3 linked regions of the Anolis sagrei genome follow. The protein of the gene in region 2 interacts with the protein of the main gene of each other region in a pairwise test. Links are inferred from orthologs where the notes say so. Each region holds a gene or a part of one and is shown on either strand. Other genes may lie near its edges. The genes, in order: EIF3E, C5H4orf19 and PDCD10.

Region 1 (7,693 bases), on a different chromosome or scaffold from region 2:
ACAGGAGCAGAACTCAAAAAGATCTTGACAGATTAGAACAGTGCTTCTTAATCTGTGGGCCGCAGCACAGCAGTGGGCCGCGAGAACAAAAATCTGGTCCATGAACCTTTTCCTTCTTTATTTATTTTATTTCCACTACTTTCCACAGATCTGACCAGCCCCACCACTTTTGGTACTAGTAATCCCTGGTCGAAAAAAAGGTTGGCAACCACTGAATTAGAGAGATGGGCCAAAACTAACGAAATGAAGTTCAACAAGGGCAAATGCAAGATACTCCACTTAGGCAGAAGAAATGAAATGCAAAGATACAGAATGGGGGACGCCTGGCTCGATAGAAGTATGCATGAACAAGATCTTAAAGTCCTCTTGGACAACAAATTAAACATGAGCCTACAATGACATGCGGTGGCAACAAAAGCCAATGGGATTTCGGCCTCCATAAATAAGAGTCTAATGTCTAGATCCAGGGAAGTCATGCTACCCCTTTATTCTGCCTTCGTTAGACCACACTTGGAATACTGTGACCAATTCTCAGCATCACAATTTAAGGGAGATGTTGTCAAGCTGGAGTGTGACTAAAATGATCAAGGGTCTGGAAAACAAGCCCTATAAGGAGTGGCTTAAAGAGCTGGGCATGTTTAGCCTGCAGAAGAGAAGGCTGAAATGAGACAAGATACCCATGTATAAATACATGAGGGGAAATCATAGAGGAGGGAGCAGGCTTGTTTTCTGCTGCTCTGGAGACTAGGATGCGGAACAATGGCTTCAATTTACAAGAAAGGAGATTCCACCTGAACATTAGGAAGAACTTAGTAACTGTGAGAGCTGTTCAGCAGTGGAACTCTCTGCCCTGGAGTGCGGTGGAGGCTCCTTCTTTGGAGGCTTTTGAACAGAGACTGGATGGCCATCTGTTGGGGTTGCTTTGAATGCAATTTTTCTGCTTCTTGGCAGGGAGTTGGAATAGATGGCCCACAAGGTCTCTTTCAACTTAATGATACTATAAAAACTGTGGTAGTTTCCTCATATTTCTTCCTTTAGGGTTGCTGTCACAGTGAAAGGCACACAGACATGTGCCTTTCACCTTAAGAACAGGCAAGCATTCCGAGCTCTGAGGATCACCTGGGAAGGAATCCTACTGGAGCATTGCAGCACACCCAAATACCTGGGAGTCACTCTGGACCTACAAGAAGCACTGCCTAAATATCAAGCAAAAAGTGGGTGCTAGAAACAATTATCATATGAAAGCTGACTGGCACAACCTGAGGATCACAACCAGACACAGTGAAGACATCTGCCCTTACACTATGCTACTCTGCTGCTGAGTATGCATGCCCACTGTGGAACACATCTCGCCACACTAAAACAGTGAATGTGGCTCTTAATGAGTCATGCCGCATTATTATGGGGTGTCTGCGTCCTACACCACTGGAGAAATTACACTGTTTAGCTGGTATTGCACCACCTGACATCCACTGGGAAGTAGCAGCCAATAGTTAAAGGACCAAGGCAGTGACATCTCCAGCTCACCCCTTGTTTGGGTATCAGCCAGCACGTCAATGACTTAAATCAAGAAACAGTTTTCTAAGGTCTACAGAGACACTTGCTGGAACACCTCAGCAAGTGAGAGTCCAAAAGTGGCAGGCTCAAACCCAAAACCTCAACCAATGGCTGATACCAAATGAGAGACTCCCCCCTGGGCACACAGAAGACTGGGCGACTTGGAAGGCGCTGAACAAACTGCGCTCAACAAACTGCGCTCTGGCATCACGAGATTATTATTATTATTATTATTATTATTAACTTTATTTGTACCCCGCTAGCATCTCCTGAAGGACTCGATGCGGCTTACATAGGCCAAGGCCTCAAACACAACACAACAATACAAAACCTAAAGCAAATTAAAAACAATTAAAGCAATATTAAACAACAAGCAATAAACAATACATCAAGACACAATAAAACTGGGCCGGGCCAGTGAATGGGTACAAGATTAAAAGTGCTGATGTGAGAGGTGATATAGGGTTATAGGGTAAGTGCAGTGTGCTGCAATCTCAATTCTAATAAAGTGCTTCTGGACTTGTTATTGGAGTTTTCCTATTCTGGAAAGGCAGATGCAGAGCCAATCTTAAGAAATGGGGCTACAAAGTTGAATCCACGACATGCAAGTGTGGAGAAGAGCGAACCACTGACCACCTGCTGCAATGCAACCTGAGCCCTGCCACATGCACAATGGAGGACCTTCTTGCAGCAACACCAGAGGCACTCCAAGTGGCCAGATACTGGTCAAAGGACATTTAATGAACTACCAAGCTTGCAAACTTTGTGGGTTTTTTTTAATCTGTTTGTTTGCTTTGTTCTGTTAGAAATGTAATACAATGGTCTGGTTTCCCCTGACACGATAAATAAAATAAATACAGTGAATTTTCTCAAGATGATGCTCTCTAGTTAATAAAGTGTATGTGAGGCAATCTCAGCCAAGGTAGATTTGGCAAGAGCACTTATGTGTGACTTTACAGGTTTCTGTTGTAGCCCAAGTTTGTCACCACAAGAGAATGAAGAAGACAACGTCATATTGCTGAGTAGATGATGTTAAAGCTACTTCACAGAAACCTGGCCAGGAAAAGACTGGAGTCCAGCAGATACAAAAGAAAACAGGCCTCCAGAGGCTGAAGCAAAGGGCTCCCATCTGCTCCCTCCCTCAGCACAGCGTCCCAAGAGGCGGAGGCGCCTCCTTTTCCTCCAAAGTAGAGGAGGCCGCTGGGGAGGAAGCCCCGGCCTGTGAGGCCTGCTAGCCGCCCCGAGGCTCCCCCGCCAGTTCCCCCTGAAAAGGAAGGGAGGCGCCGCTCTCACCTCTTTGACGGAGAGGAACTCGAGCAGCGGGAAGACCAGGTGCCGGTCCAAGAAGCGCGCGATGCGGGTGGTCAAGTCGTAGTCCGCCATCTTGGGCGCCGCGCTGAGAGGGAAAGGCTGACGCACGGCACGTTCGACGCCGTCGCCGAACGAGATCGGACTGCGCACGCGCAACAGGGCACGCACTGCCTTTGCCGTCTCCCCGTCTCTAGGCACAGCAAACCTTTCTACGCATGCGTGAAGAACTTCCGCCCTTCATGTCCCTCCTCCTTATACATTTAAGCTCCGCCTCTCCTCCCCTCCGCGTCACTAGTCGCTAGGAGAATAACTCCTGCGCATGCGTACAGAGTTATTTTCTCACTCCTTGCTCAACTTCTTTCCCCTTATTCCTCCTTAGAATCATAGAATCAAAGAGTTGGAAGAGACCTCATGGGCCATCCAGTCCAACCCCCTGCCAAGAAGCAGGAATGTTGCATTCAAATCACCCCTGACAGATGGCCATCCAGCCTCTGTTTAAAAGCTTCCAAAGAAGGAGCCTCCACCACACTCCGGGGCAGAGAGTTCCTCTGCTGAACGGCTCTTGCAGTCAGGAAGTTCTTCCTCATGTTCGGATGCAATCTCCTCTCTTGTAGTTTGAAGCCATTGCTCCATTGCGTCCTGGTCTCCAGGGAAGCAGAAAACAAGCTTGCTCCCTCCTCCCTGTGGCTTCCTCTCACATATTTATACATGGCTATCATATCCCCTCTCAGCCTTCTCTTCTTCAGGCTAAACATGCCCAGCTCCTTTAGCCGCTCCTCATAGGGCTTGTTCTCCAGACCTTGGCTGTCCACTCATCTTCTTATACTATTTTTCATAAAAGTCATCATTCTGTAATATATAAAACGACATCTATAATATATAGAAATAATAACATTGTCATGTAATAATCCTAATATATTATATATAATATTAATGATACTGTAATATATTATATATACTACAACTTATGATATAGTACAATGTATTATATAGTACTAATAGAATATTATACTTGTGTGTGTGTGTAATACAATATAATATATACTAATATAATACTTGCTTGTTATATATTACTTTTTTTGTCGTGTCAGGAGTGACTTGAGAAACTGCGAGTCACTGCTGGTGTGAGAGAATTGGCCGTCTGCAAGGACATTGCCCAGGGGACGCCTGGATGATTTGATGTTTTTATCATCCTTGTGGGAGGCTTCTCTCATGTCCCTGCATGAGGAGCTGGAGCTGATAGAGGGAGCTCATCCGCCCCTCCCCAGATTCGAACCTGTGACCTGTCAGTCTTCAGTCCTGCCGGCACAGGGGTTTAACCCACTGCGCCACCGGGGGCTCCTTATATATTACTAAGAACATTGCAGTATAGTGGTATAGTACAATATAGTATTATATAATACTAATATTGTGCCATGCTAATATTATGTTGTATATACTGCTAATATTATCATGTAATACAATATAACAATAATAATACAATATAATAATATATAATAATGTAATACAGTAATACTAATATATTAACTATAATTACTACTGAGTAATAAACTTCATTTATAACCTTTCCTGTCTCCCCGGGGGGACTCAGGGCAGTTTTCAACAAAATAAGGCAAACATTCAATGCCATAATAAACAATAGAAACAAAAACAAACCAAATCAAAACAGTAAACAAACACATCAATACAAACTTATGGTAACTGTAATAGTAAAAACATACAATATAAAAATTAAGAATAAGTTGAAACCATAAATATTAGTAAATGTTGCAAAATCCTAATGATGACTCAATCAAAATAGGTAAAACCACCCTGATAATACCCGATGAACGGGCTGTTTGACACCACTTGAACATCGGTGGTTCAATGCCATGAAATCCAGAGAGCTTTGTAGTTTGGTGTGACACCAGCCCTCTTAGGCAGAGAAAACTAAGGACCTTTTAAAACTACAACTCCCCTTATTCTATAGCGTTAAGCTATAGTACTTCAACTGGTGTCAAACTGTGTTAATTCCACAGTGTAGATGTGCCCTAAGACTTCTTGCCTATGTATCATTCTCTTGCTCTGGAGTCATTGGGGTAGTAGCCCTGTGAGAACCAGTGCTTCTTATGGTCACTGGATGAAAAGTCGGGTCTGAGAACAGATTATCCTTTATCCAAAGTGCTTGAAACCGGTGTTTTAGATTTCCAGTATTGTCAGATTTTGGAAACTTGGCACATACATGTTGAGATATCTTGAAGACGAGACCCAAGTCTAGACATTAAATTCATTTATGTTTCAAATACACCTTATAAACATGGCCCGAGGGTGATTTTATACATAATTTTTAAAAAGAAATTATTTATGAAACAAAGTTTGTGTCCATTGAAGTTACCTATCTAAGAATTTTCCAGGTTCTCCTATGAGATGCAACTTCTGACAGAAATAATTCATTTTCACAGGATTCACTATTGCCCATGGCTTCCTGTTTCCACTGCCACAGTAAGTTGAGGGACACATTCCCTATGGATATGGGAATGTACTATTTATTTACTTACTTACTATATTTCTACCCAGCTCTTCTCACCTCGAAGAGGACTCAGAGTAGCTTACAGTTTGGCCACTTTGGTGCCACATTGCAAATACACATTGTATAAATACATCACATTAGACTAATAAAAAGATACACATAGAACCACTAAAACTGGTTATCCTATAATGTTTTCTTGCAAGGACAAGGTTATATTATACACTAATTTTTAAAGTTTCATGTTCTTCGTTTGCCTTTAGAGACAGGCATCACATGCAATTAGTATGTGTTACCTTTGCCTCCTTACAGCACAACAGTTTGCCTGTCTATTTGGAACTAGTCAGAACTAGTGCTCCTGGGTAAAGTTTATCTGGAATATTATGGTCAGTTCTGGGTAGCACCAATTTAAGAAGAATATAGACAGCTGGAATGTGAGGAGGAAACAAAGACATATGAGGAACAACTACGGGAGCTGCATTTAATTAGTCTGAGGAAGAGAAAATGGATTTGTAAACCATCTTGACTCCCCAGGGTAGAAAAAGACAAGATATAAATGAGATAAATAAATAGTTATATTTAGTATTTGTATCATGGATGGTGTGGATGAGGGGTTGGCTGTGAAACTAGAGCAGCCGTGAGCAAACTTTGCCTCTCCAAGTGTTTTGGACTTCAACTTCCAGAAATCCCAGCCAACTTAGCAGTTGTTAGGAACTGTGGGAGTTAAAGTCCAAAACACCCGGGGAACTGAAGTTTGCCCATATCTGATCTACAACCTAGCCAAGAACAGCAATTGCTCATCCACACCCAGAAGCAGCAACTGCTAAGCCTGCTCCCCAAGAGAAAAATCTCAGCTGAGATATTCAATCAGAATTGCTGAGAGAATGGCCAGAAATGGGGATGAGCTGTTAAAGCAACATGTAAGGCTTTGTCTCATGCTGCTCAATTGCTGGTAGCAATGTTAGAAACTACGCCTTGGATTTTGCACTCTGGGGAGCTGTGGATACCATTTGGAGTTTTGGACAGTTTCATCGGTTGTAAGTTTGGTGGTTGGATTGGATCAGGACTAAATTTGGCCTGCTTTTCTGCTACTTCCTTGAAAGCTTGTTGTTACTGAAAATTGACTGGTCAACCTTGGACTGTGTAATTATGCTGTTGGAGATTCCAGGGTGAGGTATTTAACCATTTCAAAGAATATCATGTAGAAGATGGAGTGAACCAGTATTCTAATGTTCCAAGAAGAATACCAGATTCAAATATCAAGAAAAAGGAGTCCACTTAAACTTTAGGAAGAACTTCCTGGCTTTAAGAGTTTTTCAACAATGGAATAAATTGCCTCAGAATTTAGTATATCCTACTTCTTTAGAAGTTTTTAAAGAAGTTGGATATCCAATTCACAGTGTTATCGAGCCAAGGTAATCCCCCCAAAAAAGATTTATAGTTCAGAAATAAATATATGTTTCCCTTTTTAAAAGACCCTTTCCAGACTTGTGCATGTTCAAAGCATCAAAACATCAAGATCAAGCTAGCAGTAGCTATAAGTCTCTAAACTCTATCATATCTAACCCTTTAATAAATTATATCTATTCTTCTTTACCAAGATATAAACCAAATAAGCCCAGAGACATTCCCAAGCCAAGATAACCACCAAGTTCATTGTTCATGCGTATGCAGAGATAGGTAGTTTTCTATCGGCTTAGATAAACCTAAACCTGTTTGTCTAGCTATATGATTTACTTGAAGCTGAGAGATTGCTGCCCACAAAAACAGGCTTGTAGATATGTGCATGTGTTGAACTTCTTTATTGACAGCCAAGCCTTTGATTACTCAAGATCAGCACCTTTGTTCCTTGAGTCTTACAGCTTTGCTTTCTGAAGCTCCCATTTTTGTTTGAATTGGAACTAGACATTTGATCTCATCCAAGGCCCATCACCATAACTTTACTATTTGTTTACCCCAGACTGTGCCCTCTCGGGGCGTTTCTGCAGTTGATTGGTCCTCCACTCTGACCAATCCCTGGCTGCCATTTTCCCTCCCAGCCAATCCTGGCATGGATCCTAGTAGCCTCTTTTCTGGTTAATCAGGGGAGGGAGCGGGAAGTCTGAATAGCTGTCAGAACTGTATCCCCTGTATTTCTCTGTAAGTTTATGCTTGAACGTTTTGAAACAAAAGGCTTATCTTGTATCCCTTTTGGCCAAACCGAATAAACCTCTGTGGCTTGTCTTCAACTTGGTGAGTTGGTTTCTCTGTCTTAACCTATCTGGTTTAGCATACACTCACCAGGCACGGATCCTCTTTAACTGCGGTCTTAGTTAACCA
Region 2 (7,153 bases):
AGATCCTTGAACTTTGGCCCCAAAGTAGATCTCAAATGGACTTTCTAAATGCTTGGATGGGATAAGCAGGTGATGAAATGGGGGGGGGGGGGGACTTAGCCTGGGTATGATAAAACAAGGACATTGAGAAATGCCGAGTTACGAAACTATGGGAAATGATGCAAACTGTCTCACTTTCACTCAGTGCTGTGATTTCCTCCCATAACCCATAAAGATCATAGAAACAACTCAACCAGTCATTGTCCATTCAAAGTGTCATACTCCATTACTTTGAAGGTGCAACTCACACATGGTTATCAGATACTCCCAATCGTTATATAGTTCTTTCTTATATTTATCAATATCTTTATATCCTTTTTTATCTCTTTTATACCTTGTATTTTTATATTTATTTATTTATACCCCACTTTTCTCTCTTGTTAAAAATGAGTATTTTATTTAAATTAGTAGGGGCTTTATATACTGTTTTTATGTATATTTGTTTTACGTAAATTGACATTGGTGTTGTTTTATAAATATTCATGTATTTGACTATATTTTGTATATTCTGCTGCACTACTATGTGCTTTGTAAGCTGCCCCGAATCCCTTTTGGGAGATGATGGAGGGATTTGAATAAAGTTGTGTTCTTGTTGTTATGATTATTATTCCCTATTAATCTTCTCATCATATTACCTATTTCTTCCTAGTTATCCAAGTTTCTCCTGTGCTCTTGGACCGGAGGTCCTTTCAGACATTACACAGGACAGCAAATCAGCCTTAATCTTTAAACTTAGGATTGTCCTAAGTCTGAAACAACTTGAAGGCATACAACAACAACAATCTTTTTTAACCTGACTCTCATCAGCTAAAAGCAGGCCCACACTTCCCATTGAAATGCTGGTAAGTTATTGCTGATTAAAATTGTTCTTCATAGAATAATTGAGTTGGAAGAGATCTCATGGGCCATCCAGTCCATGCCTCTGCCAAGAAGCAGGAAAACTGCATTCAAAGCACCCCTGACAGATGGCCATCCATCCTCTGTTTAAAAGTCTTCAAAGAAGGAACCTCCACCACACTCCAGGGCTGAGAGTTCCACTGCTGAACAGCTCTCACCATTAGGAAGTTCTTCCTCATGTTCAGGAGGATTGTCCTTTCCGTAGTTTGAAGCCATTGTTTTGTGTCCTATTCTCCAAGGCAGCAGAAAACAAGCTTGCTCCCTCCTCCCTATGACTTCCAGTCACATATTTATACATGACCCCCATCACGTCTCCTTTCAGTCTTCTCTTCTGCAGGCTAAACATGCCCAGCTCTTTTATCCGCTCCTCATAGGGCTTGTTCTCCAGACCCTTGATCATTTGAGTCACCCTCCTCTGGACACATTCCAGCCTGTTAACATCTCTCTTCAATTGCAGTGCCCAGAATTGGACTAGCCACCACATCACATTGCTGGCTCATGTTTAACTTGTTGTCCATGAGGACTCCAAGATGTTTTCACATGTACAGTACTGCTGCCAAGCCAGGCATCCCCCATTCTGTATCTTTGCATTTCATTTTTTCTGCCTAAGTGGTGTATCTTTGCCAAGTTCTTCTAGTGTAAGTAGTCCCTGAGTTACAAATGACTCCTAGATAAGAATGGGGGTGAGACAAAATCTGAACCCTTGAAAGGGAAATTCACTCATGAAAGAGTGATTAAGGGGAAAAGGTGTCTCCACTGAAGCTTTATCAGCAAGCCTTGTTTCAGTGCAAGCCAAAAGTTTCAAAATCTAATTGCAGGGAGAGAAAGTGAGGTGAAATCTTTGGAACAGTGGAACAGACAGTAAACAAACAGCACAGGGGTGTTTACCCTTCCCTATGCTACCGAAATATCTACTCTCTCTCTCTCTTTCTTTCTCCTTCTCTCTCCCTCCTCCCTCTCTTTTCTCTTTCTTTCTCTCCTTCTCTCCCTCCCTCTCTCTTTCTCTCCCTCTCTCCTCCTCTCCCCCTCTCCTCTCTCTTTCTCTCCCTCCTCCCTCTCTCTCCCTCTCCTCTCTTTCTCTCTCTCTCCCTCCCTCCCTCCCTCCTCCCTTTCTTCTCTCTCTTTCTTTCTCTCCCTCTCCCCCCTCTTTCTCTCCCTCTCTCCTCTTTCCTCCCTCTTCCTCCTCTCTCCCCCTCTGCTTCCTCTCTCTACTCTTTCTTTCTCTCCCTCTTCTTTCTCTCCCCCTCTCTCTCTGCTTCCTCTCTCTTCTCTTTCTTTCTCTCCCTCTCTCCCCCACTTTATCTCCCTCTCCCCTCTTTCCTCTCTCCCCTCTATCCTCTCTCATTCTCTCCCTCCCTCCTTTCTTTCCTCCCTCTCTCTTCTCTCTCCCCCTCCCTCTCTCCCGTTTCCTCTCTCTCCCCTCACTCTCTCTCCTTCCCCCCCACCCTCTCTATCCCTCCCTCTTCCCTTTCCCCCCTCTCTCTCTACTCTTATCCCTCTGTTCCTCTCTTTTTTCTCTCTCTTTCTCTCTCTCACACACACACCCCTCCCCCCTGTGTTTTTGGCTGGAATGACAACTCTTCAAAAATACACCTGTTCCGACTTACATACAAACTCAACCTAAAATCAAACCTGTGGAACTTATCTTGTTCATAACTTGGGGGCTGCCTATATATTTGAAAGTTCTGGCCACCTACACACAAGTTGCCTTCTTTGGGGAGGGGGGGGGGTCAGGAGGTTCCTCTCTCGCACCCTCCACTTTCTGCCCTGTGTTGTCCCACTCAGGTAGATATCCCTGGATCTGTGGGCTAAGCTTCCCAAAAAAAGGAGGGGTTCCTAAACACCCTGTTGCTCCTTTGGAAAGAGAGGTGGGTGAGTGGATGCCTTTCCAAGGGAGGGGAGAGCCTTCCATCGCCAGGCAAGGTGAGCCCACCGCTCATTCACACCTGTCCCCAAAGTTTTCCCCAAGTTTCCTCCTACCTGCAGCCTCTGCTCCCTCCAGGCTGGGGCTCAGCTTCTCCCATGGCCAGAACCGGACTGCCTCCTTTGAAGGCGAAAAGGGAAAGGCAGCCTCGCCAAACTGCCCCCTTTTTTCCCAGCCCGGAGCCAGTTTGCCTGACCTCGGAGGGAGCCTGCCCTGGGTGCCATTGGGCAGCCGGGCGTCACGTGACCGCTGAGGAAAAGAAAAGCCCTTTAAAAAACAAACACACACACACTCACAGAGAGAGTTTGCATGGAAGACATCCCAGGAGACACTCTTGTAACCCTTTACCTGCAAGTTGAAGGCGGGAGAAAACCAGCCAAACGTCCTAATGAGGAGGATTAGGTTAGCTCGCACCTGGAATACTCTTACCTCAAAAACTGAAGTAAGATATTGACAAGCTGGAATGTGTCCAGAGGAGGGCCACTCAAATGATCAAGGAGAACAATTCCTAGGAGGAGCGGCTTAAAGAGCTGGGCATGATTAGCCTGAAGAAGAGAAGGCTGACATGATAGCCATGTATTAACATGTGAGAGAAAGTCATAGGGAGGAGAGAGCAAGCTTGTTTTCTCCTGCCCTGGAGACTAGGACGTGGAACAATGGCTTCAAACTACAAGAAAGGAGATTCAGGAGAACTTCCTGACTGTGAGAGCTGTTCAGCAGTGGAACTCTCTGCCCCAGAGTGCGGTGGAGGCTCCTTCTTTCATAGAATCACAGAGTTGAAAGAGACCTCATGGGCCATCCAGTCCAACCCCCTGTCAAGAAGCAGGAAAATTGGATTCAAAGCACCCCCAACAGATGGCCATCCAGCCTCTACCACACTCCGGGGCAGAGAGTTCCACTGCTGAACGGCTCTCACAGTCAGGACGTTCTTCCTAATGTTCAGATGGAATCTCCTTTACTGTAGTTTGAAGCCATCATTCCACATCCTAGTCTCCAAGGCAGCAGAAAACAAGTTCACTTCCTCCTCCCTATGATTTCCTCTCACATATTTATATATGGCCATCATCATGTCTCCTCTCAGCCTTGTCTTCTTCAGGCTAAACGTGCCCAGTTCTTTAAGCCTTATGCATATGGGATATATTGGGCATGGTGATCAGATCATGATATAAATAAACATAACAGTTGAAATAATGTACCAGTAAGGCCTTCTCGCAGACCACCCTGAGAATTTGGGGGGGGGGGGGGGATGAAGCCCCTCAAGCCCCCCCCCCCCCACTAGATGTCTGGCCCTCACAGTCAGGAAGTTCTTCCTCATGTTCAGATGGAATCTCCTTTCTTGTAGTTTGAACCCATTGTTCCACGTCCTAGTCTCCAGGGCAGCAGAAAACAAGTTCGCTCCCTCCTCCCTATAACTTCCTCTCCCATATTTGAACATGGCTATCATGTCTCCTCTCAGCCTTCTCTTCTTCAGGCTAAACATGTCCAGCTCTTTAAGCCGCTCCTCATAGGGCTTGTTCTCCAGACCCTTGATTATTTTAGTCGCCCTCTTCTGGACACATCCCAGCTTGTCAACATCTCCCTTCAAGTGTGGTGCCCAGAATTGGACACAGTATTCCAGATGTGGTCTAACCAAGGCGGAATAGAGTGGTAGCATGACTTCCCTGGATCTAGACACTAGACTCCTATTGATGCAGGCCAACATCCCATTGGCTTTTTTTCCTGCCGCAACTGAGCTGGAAATTTAAGGGGCTCTTGGACACAAACATGCTATGACCCAACATGATGATAAGATGCTGTGAAACTCTTCAGTTTCTAATGTAGTGACCCACAGGAGGTCTCTGCTTCAGAAGTCAAGCTAAGTCTAGTACTAATTTTTATTGTTTAGCCCTTAGGCCAGTATTTCTCAACCTTCCTAATGCCGTGACCCCTTAATACAGCCCCTCATGTTGTGGTGACCCCCAACCAGAACATTATTTTCATTGCTACTTCATAACTGTTGTTTTGGTACTGTTCTGAGTCGTAATGTAAATATCTGAAATGCAGGATGTATTTTCATTCACTGGACCAAATTTGGCACAAGTACCCAATATGCCCCAATTTGAATACTGGCAAGGTGTTTTTTTTTGGGGGGGGGGGGGGGATTTTATCATTAGGGAGTTATAGTTACTGGGATTTATTGTTCACCTACAATCAAAGAGTATTCTGAACTCCACCAATGAGGGAATTGAACCAAACTTGGCACAGAGAACTCCCGTGACCAAGAGAAAATACTGGAAGGGTTTGATGGGCACTGACCTTGCGTTTTGGAGTTGTAGTTCACCTACATCCAGAGAGCACTGTGGACTCAAACAATGAGAGATCCGGACCACACTTGGCAGGAATACTCAATATGCCCAAATGTGAAGACTGGTGGAGTTTGGGGAAAATAGACACTGACATTTGGGAGTTGTAGTTGCTGGGATTTATAGTTCACCGACAATCAAAGTGCATTCTAAAACCCACCAATGATAGAATTGGGCCAAACTTTCCACAAAGAACCCCCTTGACCAACAGAAAATACTGTATTGTTGAAGGCTTTCATGGCCGGAATCACTGGGTTGTTGTAGGTTTTTTCGGGCTATATGGCCATGGTCATATGGAGGCATTCTCTCCTGACGTTTCGCCTGCATCTATGGCAAGCATCCTCAGAGGTAGTGAGGTCTGTTGGAACTAGGAAAAAGGGTTTATATATCTGTGGAATGACCAGGGTGAGACAAAGGACTCTTGTCTGCTGGAGCTAGGTGTGAATGTTTCAACTGACCACTTTGATTAGCATACAATGGCCTGACTGTGCCTGGAGAAAACTTTTGTTGAGAGGTTATTAGATGAACAAACCATGAAAATGAACAAAATTTGGCTACCAGTATTAAAAAACTCTAAAATTGCAACAGCACAACAACAAAGAGGAAACAAACAAGGACATCTAATCACCTCTTTCAGAGAAAGAGACTCCACCACACTCCCAGGCAGCCTACTCCACTGCTGAACTTGTAGATCCCATTATTCAAAAAGCAGTTCAGATGGAAACATGATGCAATATATTGTCAAAGGCTGTCATGGCTGGAATCTCTGGGTTGCTGTGAGATATCCGGGCTGTATGGTCATGTTCCAGAAACATTTTCTCCTGATGTTTCGCCCACATCTTTGGCAGGCATCCTCAGAGGTTGTGAGGTCTATTGGAAACTAGGCAAGTGGGATTTAAACAAAGGACAGTATGCTCATATTTGGTGGGAATGTCCAAGGAGAAAATGGAAGAAAACCTATTTAATTTATCACTTCAAGTGAGCATTGATGTGATGCTAATGGAAGTTTTAGGTAACAACAAGGTTAAAGTAAAAGACCAGGAATTATTTAAAGCTATGATTTTAGCAGGACAGGCAGTGATAGCATGGGGTGGGAAATATTGGGGGGGGGGGGGGGAGGACTATAGAAAATTGGAATTACTACTTTTATGATCAATTACAATCTGATATTTTAGTATATTGAACTCATGATGCTACGTGTGAGTGTAAAACAAAACAAATAAAAGATAAATGGATGGTTTATATGGAATGGATAAATAGTAGCAAAGCCAATTTGAATATTGTACTGAAATTAAGAAAATTGTGCTCATGGATAAAAAGATAGAAGTATGTGGTCCAAGTGATGGGTCGAATGAAGTTTTCAATAGTTAAAAATTAATGAAAAATATATTTTAAAAAGACAGCACTATCCGTTCTATTACTTGTACTTTGTTCTTATTTTATTGGTTACATAGAATTATTGTAACATGTTTATTAGTTGCTCAACCACAATCTTCCCTGAACTTTTGGTGGTTTAAATTTGTAATTGCTTTGACACATGAAGCTAATGAATGGGTTCTGAGGGCTATCAAATAGATCTTCTTTCAGTGGAGTGTTGTGTGGTTTCTGGGCTGTATGGCCGTGTTCTAGCAGCATTATCTCCTGACATTTTGCCTGTATCTATGGCTGTCATTTTCAGATGCAGAAGAAAATTCAGGAGAAAATGCTGCTAGAACATAGCCATACCACCCAAAATTGATTATTATTACAGGTTCATTGTTGTTGGTTTGATGGTTGCTTTTATATTCTGTTATAATCTTGTTGTTTTATTCTGTTTTATGCTGTTGTTTATGTATTTTAGTGTGTTATATTTTAACTATGGGGCGGCTTACATCGGGCTCGTCCCAATGTAAGCCGACCCAAATTCCTCTGAGGGGATGGAGGCGGGGTCCAAAAATAAAGTTATTGTTTT
Region 3 (7,364 bases), on a different chromosome or scaffold from region 2:
CCTGAGAAAGAATAGCAAACAATGGTCAATGTCACCGAAGTCAATGAAACCAAAACTCTGAAGCCTGCCTAATTATTTCAGCAAATGAGGCGGAACGCCACCACTCCCCATCCCTGGAAGCAAAAGCACAGTAATGAAGTACAGTCAGTCTCTCTGTATCCATGAGTTCAACATCAGGGATTCAACTATTTCCAAAGACAAATCTTGATTTCACCATTATATATAAGGAACAGCATTTTATATAAGGAACCTACAATTTTTGGTATCCGCAGGGAGTCCTAGAACCAAAACCTGGCAGATTCCAAGGGCCCACTATAAGCAACAAAGAATTTGTTGGCAATCCAAGTCTACTGTTTAAGACTGGCACCTTATTTTTCCTCAAATACAGCTGGCTCTGGCCAGACTTTCTCTATCAACACCAAGAAAACAAAACCCTCACTTCTACTACCTCTTCCTCCTGCCATCCCCATTATTTTTTTTCCACCTTATAAAAAACCCCCCCAAACTCCTTGGTTAATTTATGCTTAGGCACATTTAAACTGCAGAATTAATGCAGTTTGGAATCCCTTTGACTGCCATGGTTCTATGATATGGAATCATGGGAGTTGTAATTTGGTCAGGCATCAGTATATTTTACTAGGGAAGGATAAAGACCTTGTAGGCAATCCCTCGTGGCTGCATATGATCATCTTCCAGAGGTAGATTCTTGATGGTGGGTCTGTGACTGTGGGCCCATCCAGACAGGTTCTATATCCCGGGATCTCATCTCAGATTATCTGGCAACAGGGACTCATATAATCTAGTTTAAAGCAGAAAACTCGGGATCAGTTCCTGGGATATAGGGCCTGTCTGGAAGGGCCCTGTGAAGACCTATGCTAGATCCGCATGGCGTTTCGCAATGAGGACATCAATTTCAAGATGGAAGGCAGTCACAACAAAGGGTGCGACTTCCTCTTGGCTTGTTACACCCTGCACTCCAGCCTCTTCAAAATCCATTGCACCGTTTGTAAATGTTGACTTCCTGTTACAATGCTGGGGTGGCAGGGCTTCCCAGTTCTCTGTGTTTATACCACATTTTTTTAAAGTTAGCTTTGAGACCGGCTTTTAAATCATACCACAACTCCTGTGATTCCATAGCAATGGGCTGCAGCACTGCATTTGTTCCCAAACTCTGGTCTTCTGGGCAAACTTCAGCCCTCCAGATGTTTTAGACTTCAACTCCCACAATTTCTAACAGCCTACTGGCTGTTAGGAATTGTAGGAGTTGAAGTCCAAAACACCTGGATGGAGGGCTGAAGTTTGCCCATGCCTGGTGTAGATGCACTCCTCAATGTAACGCACCTACCAATTTCTTCTTTATTGCCATTGTTGTTGTTGTGTAAGTTCAATAACAATAACCAATACCATTTTGACCTGTCTCTCCTCCAAAACATCACGTCTGCATAAGAATCAAAATGTGTTTATACCACATTTTTTAAAGTTAGCTTTGAGACCGTCTTTTGAATCATACCACAGCTCCTGTGATTCCATAGCAATGGGCTGCGGCAATTAAAGTGCTGCAAAACTGCATTTGTTCCCAAACTTTGGTCTTCTGGGTAAACTTCGGCCCTCCAGATGTTTTGGACTTTAACTCCCACAATTCCTGCTGTTAGGAATTGTGGGAGTTGAAGTCCAAAACACCTGGATGGAGGGCTGAAGCTTGCCCATGCCTGCTCCGCAATATAATGCACCTACCAATTTCTTATTTATGGCCATTGTTGTTGTGTGCCTTCAAGAACAACAATCAATACCATTTTTACCTGTCTCTCCTCATCTTAAGAATAATTCACGGCGGCTGCTGTGGTTTTCAACTGTGAATGTGTTTGGATGATTTTTAACTGGGAATTTAAAAATACTATTTCAATGTTTGTATCTTTCAAATGGCTATGCCAGGCAAGTGTTTTGGATTTCGATTCCCACAATTCCTAACAGCCTATTGCAGATATGGGCAAACTTCGACCCTCCAGGGGTTTTGGACTTCAACTCCCACAATTCCTAACAGCCACAGGCCCTTTCATTTTTCCCCTCAGCAGCTTAAGCGGCTTAAGCGGCTGCGGGGAAAAATGAAAGGGCCTGTGGCTGTTAGGAATTGTGGGAGTTGAAGTCCAAAACCCCTGGAGGGCTGGAGTCTGCCCATGCCTGGCCTACCGTCTGCTAGGAATTATGGGAGTTGAAGTCCAAAACACCTGGAGGGCTGGAGTTTGCCCATACCTGGCCTACTGGCTGCTAAGAATCATGGGAGTTGAAGTCCAAAACACCTGGAGGGCTGGAGTTTGCCCATGCCTGGCCTACCGGCTGCTAGGAATTATGGGAGTTGAATTCCAAAACACCTGGAGGGAGGGCCAAATTTTGCCCATGCCTGGGTTATGCAAATGCTTTTATGTTTTGCTGCCTTGAGTCCCCTTTGGGGGAGATAAAGTGGGGGTATAAATACATATAATCCTCCCCATGGCTTCAATAGTTCCTTAATTAGGGTGACCCTCAAGGCACCCCATCACAGGGCAAGATTTCTCCAGAGAGGGGGTTGCCCTTGAGGCTGAGAGAGTGTGGCTCGCCCAAGGTCACCCAATGGGTCTCCTGAACCCTGACCTCCAGGCTGAGGCCTAGTCCACCTCCCCGAATTCCCTCTCCTTCCTCCCCGCCACTCGGGCTGGATACCTCAGCAAAGGAGGGCCTCCTCTTTCGGGGACTAGGAAGAACCAACCGCGTTCCCCTCTCTCTCTGTCTCTCTCCTCAGCCAAGCCACTAGGCCCGACGCCTGCCCTCAAGTCGGCTTGCCAGGGGCCAACCCCGTCCTCGAAGCCCCGCAGGCCAGGCCCTGCCAGCGACCCCACTACTACCGAAGGAGAGCGCGCAGCGGCCGCCTCACCTCCCCTCACCCGCCTGCCTGTCCGCCCTTCGAGGCTCCTCTTTCGCCGAGGCCGGAAGTAGCAGCGTCCTCCTTCTCTCCTATGCCACCGCCGTCGTTACCACACACCAGGCGTTGTCCGGAACTAGCCGGCGACCGCGGGGGCCCACGGGGCCTGTAGTCGCGCCTTGAACACTACAACTACCGAGATGCTTTGCGAAGACCGCAAGAGACTCATGAAAGGGGACCAATAGGGAGGAAGGGGGCGTGGCGTTGCCCATATTAGGAGAGAGAGAGATTGGGAAGTAGCGTTCGAAAGGGAGAGGAGGAGGAGCCCAATAGGGAGCAAGTGGCGTGTAGACGAAGAGCGAGACATTAGGAAGCAGCACCCGAAAGGGAGAGGAGGGGGAGCCCAATAGGGAGTAAGGGGCGTGGCGTTGCCCATATTAGGACGAAAGTGGGCGGAGACAGAGACATCTTGAAATAGCATCCGAAAGGAAGAGGAGGGGGAGCCAAGAGGGAGCAAGGGGCGTGGCGTTGCCCATATTAGGAAGAAAGTGGGCGGAGACAGAGAGATTGGAAAGTAGCATCTGAAAAGGAGGGGGGCAATAGGGAGTAAGGGGCGGGGCGTTGCCCATATTAGGAAGAAAGTGGGCGGAGAGAGAGAGAGACATTGCAAAGTAGCATCTGAAAGGGAGAGGAGGGGGAGGACAATAGGGAAAAAGGGGGCGTGGCTTTTGACCATATTAGGAAAAAGTGGGCGGAGAGAAAGAGATTGGGAAGTAGCATCCGAAAGGGAGAGGAGGGGGGCAAGAGGGAGCAAGGGGCGGGGCGTTACCTCTATATTGAAGGCAGAATAGACGAAGTGAGAGACATTGGGAAGTGGCACCCGAAAGGGAGAGGACGGAAAGGCCAATAGGGAGTAAGGGGCGTGGCTTTTGCCCATATTAGGACGAAAGTGGGCGGAGAGACATTGAGAAGTAGAATCCGAAAGGGAGAGGAAGACTAAGCCAATAGGGAGGAAGGGGGCGTGGCTTTTGCCCATATTAGGAACAAAATGGGCGGAGAGAAAGCATCTTAAAGGGAGAGGAGGGGGAGGCCAAAAGGGAGTGAGGGGCGTGGCGTTGCCCATATTTGGAAAAAAAAGGGGCGGAGAGAAAGCGCGAAGAAGCATAAGAAGGGGAGAAGCGATACACCAATCGGGAGAAAGGGGGCGTGGCGTTTTCCATATTAGGCAGAAAGGGGGCGGAGCGAAGGGGAAGTGGGCGGGCCTGCGGAGTAAAACCATTCCCAGCGCAGAGGCGCACCAGAAACAATCCCTGAGGCGGTGCCGGCGAAGGAAGCAGCGGGCTCTGAGTGCGGAGCCACATCTGGAACATCTCTCTCCATCGCTCTTGAAAGCACCTTTGGGGCAGGTAAGCTCTGCTGCCAGTCACCTCTTTGCAAGGCTTGATTGCCTCTCCCCTTTTGTTTATGTCTTTCCTTTGAGAAGAAGAGTGAATATAATTGATCTTTGGCTCCACTGAATAGGAATTTAGTAGTGGATGGTTCATCTTCCCCTTTCTTTTGCTTGGGAACAATAAACTAGTTTACATATTTCCCCCAAAATGCAATTATTATTATTATTTTGGGCAGATCTTCCAGTAGCATAACTTGAACCCACTGAATAAGATCAGGATAGTGGTTGTTTCCCACTCCTCTTTATTTTGATTAGAAAAATATAGACAAGTTTTCATTCTTTCCTCTAATTATACTAATTATTAAAAATTTCATAAATTATTTATTATTAATTGACAGACACAAAATGCAGTATGTCACAGCAAACGAGGTCTATATTATTATTGTTTATTATTATTGTTGTGAGATCTATATTATTATTGTTATATTATCAGGATATATTAACAATATATTATCAATATATCAATATATTAACAATATACCGCAATGAGTCGCCCTTGGGGCTGAGAATTGCTGTATATAAGCGCAGTAAATAATAATAATAATAATAATAATAATATTGTTATATTGTTATATTATTATTGTTATATTATCAGGAGCCCCCGGTGGCGCAGTAGGTTAAACCCCTGTGCCGGCAGGACTGAAGACCGACAGGTTGCAGGTTCGAATCCGGGGAGAGGCGGATGAGCTCCCTCTTTCAGCTCCAGCTCCTCATGCGGGGACATGAGAGAAGCCTCCCACAAGGATGATAAAAACATCAAATCATCCAGGCGTCCCCTGGGCAACGTCCTTGCAGACGGCCAATTCTCTCACACCAGAAGCGACTTGCTCCTGACACAACAAATTTTTTTGTTTATTATTGTTTATTGTTATTATTGTTGTTGTTATTTTTATTATTATTTAATTGGGCAGCTCTCCCCGTATCTTAACTTCACCCTCTCCCAATTTCCTTCCCAAGCATCTTCTCAGCTAAGTGCTGGATCACTTCCCAGAGGCTTTTCTATGTTTTCCCCTGTTGCTAGCAACCTATGAGGATATATTGTTGTCTCTCTTCCTTTCCGCCACTGCAAGCTTTAACAGTGATGTTGCAAATTAAATAATTTCTACCTGCAGTCATTTCCCCTCCCTGTATTGAATTTTGTGAAGTAACTGATTATATGGAATAATTATAGCAAATGCTCCTTTTGCTCAAAGATAATGGGCATTTCCCCCTTTGTCATTCTCCGTAAGCCCCGATTTGTGTGTGTTTGCGGTTGAGAGGCACTGTCATTTACCCCTTCAAGAGTTAAAATAATGCTACGAAATGTCATTTGAGGTATATATCTATATCTTGGTAAAGTCAGTATATTTTTCATATATATGTATCCTGGTTGTGGGATCAAGCATTTGCAGAGCAGACTGACTTACTGGTTGAATCCCCGATTTGTATGTGTTTGCAGTTGAGAGTCACTGTCATTTACCCTTCAAGAGTTAAAGTAATGCTACGAAATATCGTTTGAGGTATATATCTATATCTAGGTAAAGTCAGTATATTTTTTCATATATATGTATCCTGGTTGTGGGATCAAGCATTCGCAGAGTAGACTGACTTACTGTTTTAATGGAATGTTTCTAGGATGACGACTTAAATTGGCAAACTGTTTTAATGAATTTTTATATCTGTTTTATTATAATATGTGTATATATGCTTGTTTTTACTTTGTTGTTGGCACTGTGCTTTGCCGGTTGGTAGCCACCCTGAGTTCCTCTGCAGAGGTTGAGAAAGGACTACACATGCCTAAATAAATAAATAAATAACACACACACACATCTGTATAAATAAAATTGTAATGTTCGTTTATGGGATTAACAGAATTCAAAAACCACTGGACAAATTGACATCAAATTTGGACACAAGACACTTAACAACCCAATGTATGTCCTTCACTCAAAAAAATTGATTTTGTCATATGGGAGTTGTAGTTGCTGCGATTTATAGTTCACCTACAATCAAAGAGCATTCTGAACCCCAACCAACGATGGAATTGAACCAAACTTGGCACACAGTTCTCCCATGACCAACAGAAAACTCTGGAAGGGTTTGGTGGGCAGTGTCCTTTGGTTTTGGAGTTGTAGTTCACCTACATCCAGAGATCACTGTGGACACAAACAATGATGGATCTGGACCAAACTCTACACAAATACTCAATGTGCCCAAATGTGAACACTGGTGGAGTTTGGGGAAAATAGAATCTTGACATTTGGGAGTTGTAGTTGCTGGGATTTATAGTTCTACAATCACAGAGCATTCTGAAGCCCACCAACGATAGAATTGGGCCAAACCTCCCCCACAGAACCCCCATGTGGGCCACAGCAACGTGTGGCAGGGAACGGCTAGTATCTATCTATCTGTCTGTGTGTGTGTGTCTGTGTAGATAGATAGATAGATAGATAGATAGAGTTGGTTCAGAATTGGGCAGTATCAGTATTTATCCCTAGCTCATCCTATAGTGTTGCGTCTCCCACATTACTGGTTCTTGTAAAGATGAGTACCGTATTTGACATCTATCTCTTCAAAAGTTTTATATAGAATGTCGGTCCATTGAGATGGCCATTAGGCTTTGCAATTGGTCTCTTTCATCTCTGTTGGTACAGATGGAAATCTTTATAATGAGCAATTTTGTCACTGACTTCGAATGAGGTTGTCACTTAGTGTTTCCAGATGCTTTTAAAGAAAAGAAAGAAGGCTGTACGCAGTAGAAAAGAGATATTGAAATAATATAGGGAAGAATGTTTATATACAGGTTTTCCATGCGATTTCTACATTTGGTTTCACATTGTTGTTCAGGCTACATCTCATGAAATGGATTGTGTAGCCTATGGAAACTTGTGCCAAATAAAACCAACTAGTCTTTAAAATTCCACAATATTTTTTTTTGTTCTCTTGCTGCAATGTAGCCTCCTCCCTCAATTTTTTTACTAAGGATGTGAGTCTACACTTCTTTATTGGGAGTGGAAGGGCATCTACACTGTAGAACAA

The links.
Region 1: the proteins of C5H4orf19 (region 2) and EIF3E interact in binary tests that used the Homo sapiens proteins (3 or more experiments, as listed by UniProt). The two-hybrid records come from large-scale screens. The link is inferred for Anolis sagrei from reciprocal best matches to the Homo sapiens genes PGCKA1 and EIF3E.
Region 3: the proteins of C5H4orf19 (region 2) and PDCD10 interact in binary tests that used the Homo sapiens proteins (3 or more experiments, as listed by UniProt). The two-hybrid records come from large-scale screens. The link is inferred for Anolis sagrei from reciprocal best matches to the Homo sapiens genes PGCKA1 and PDCD10.

Annotation. Positions count from the first base shown.
Region 1 is NC_090024.1:27,383,985-27,391,677, reverse strand, and holds the start of EIF3E (eukaryotic translation initiation factor 3 subunit E), read right to left. Parts: upstream 3,015-7,693; 5' UTR 2,941-3,014; coding exon 2,851-2,940; intron 1-2,850. UniProt on the Homo sapiens protein: Component of the eukaryotic translation initiation factor 3 (eIF-3) complex, which is required for several steps in the initiation of protein synthesis.
Region 2 is NC_090025.1:118,415,536-118,422,688, reverse strand, and holds the start of C5H4orf19 (uncharacterized protein C4orf19 homolog), read right to left. Parts: upstream 3,088-7,153; 5' UTR 2,917-3,087; intron 1-2,916. UniProt on the Homo sapiens protein: Acts as a tumor suppressor. Acts as a tumor suppressor for colorectal cancer cell proliferation by targeting KEAP1/USP17/ELK1/CDK6 axis.
Region 3 is NC_090023.1:250,379,157-250,386,520, forward strand, and holds the start of PDCD10 (programmed cell death protein 10), read right to left. Parts: upstream 3,089-7,364; 5' UTR 2,919-3,088; exon of another isoform or gene 2,909-2,918; intron 2,860-2,908; exon of another isoform or gene 2,698-2,859; intron 1-2,697. UniProt on the Homo sapiens protein: Promotes cell proliferation. Modulates apoptotic pathways. Increases mitogen-activated protein kinase activity and STK26 activity. Important for cell migration, and for normal structure and assembly of the Golgi complex.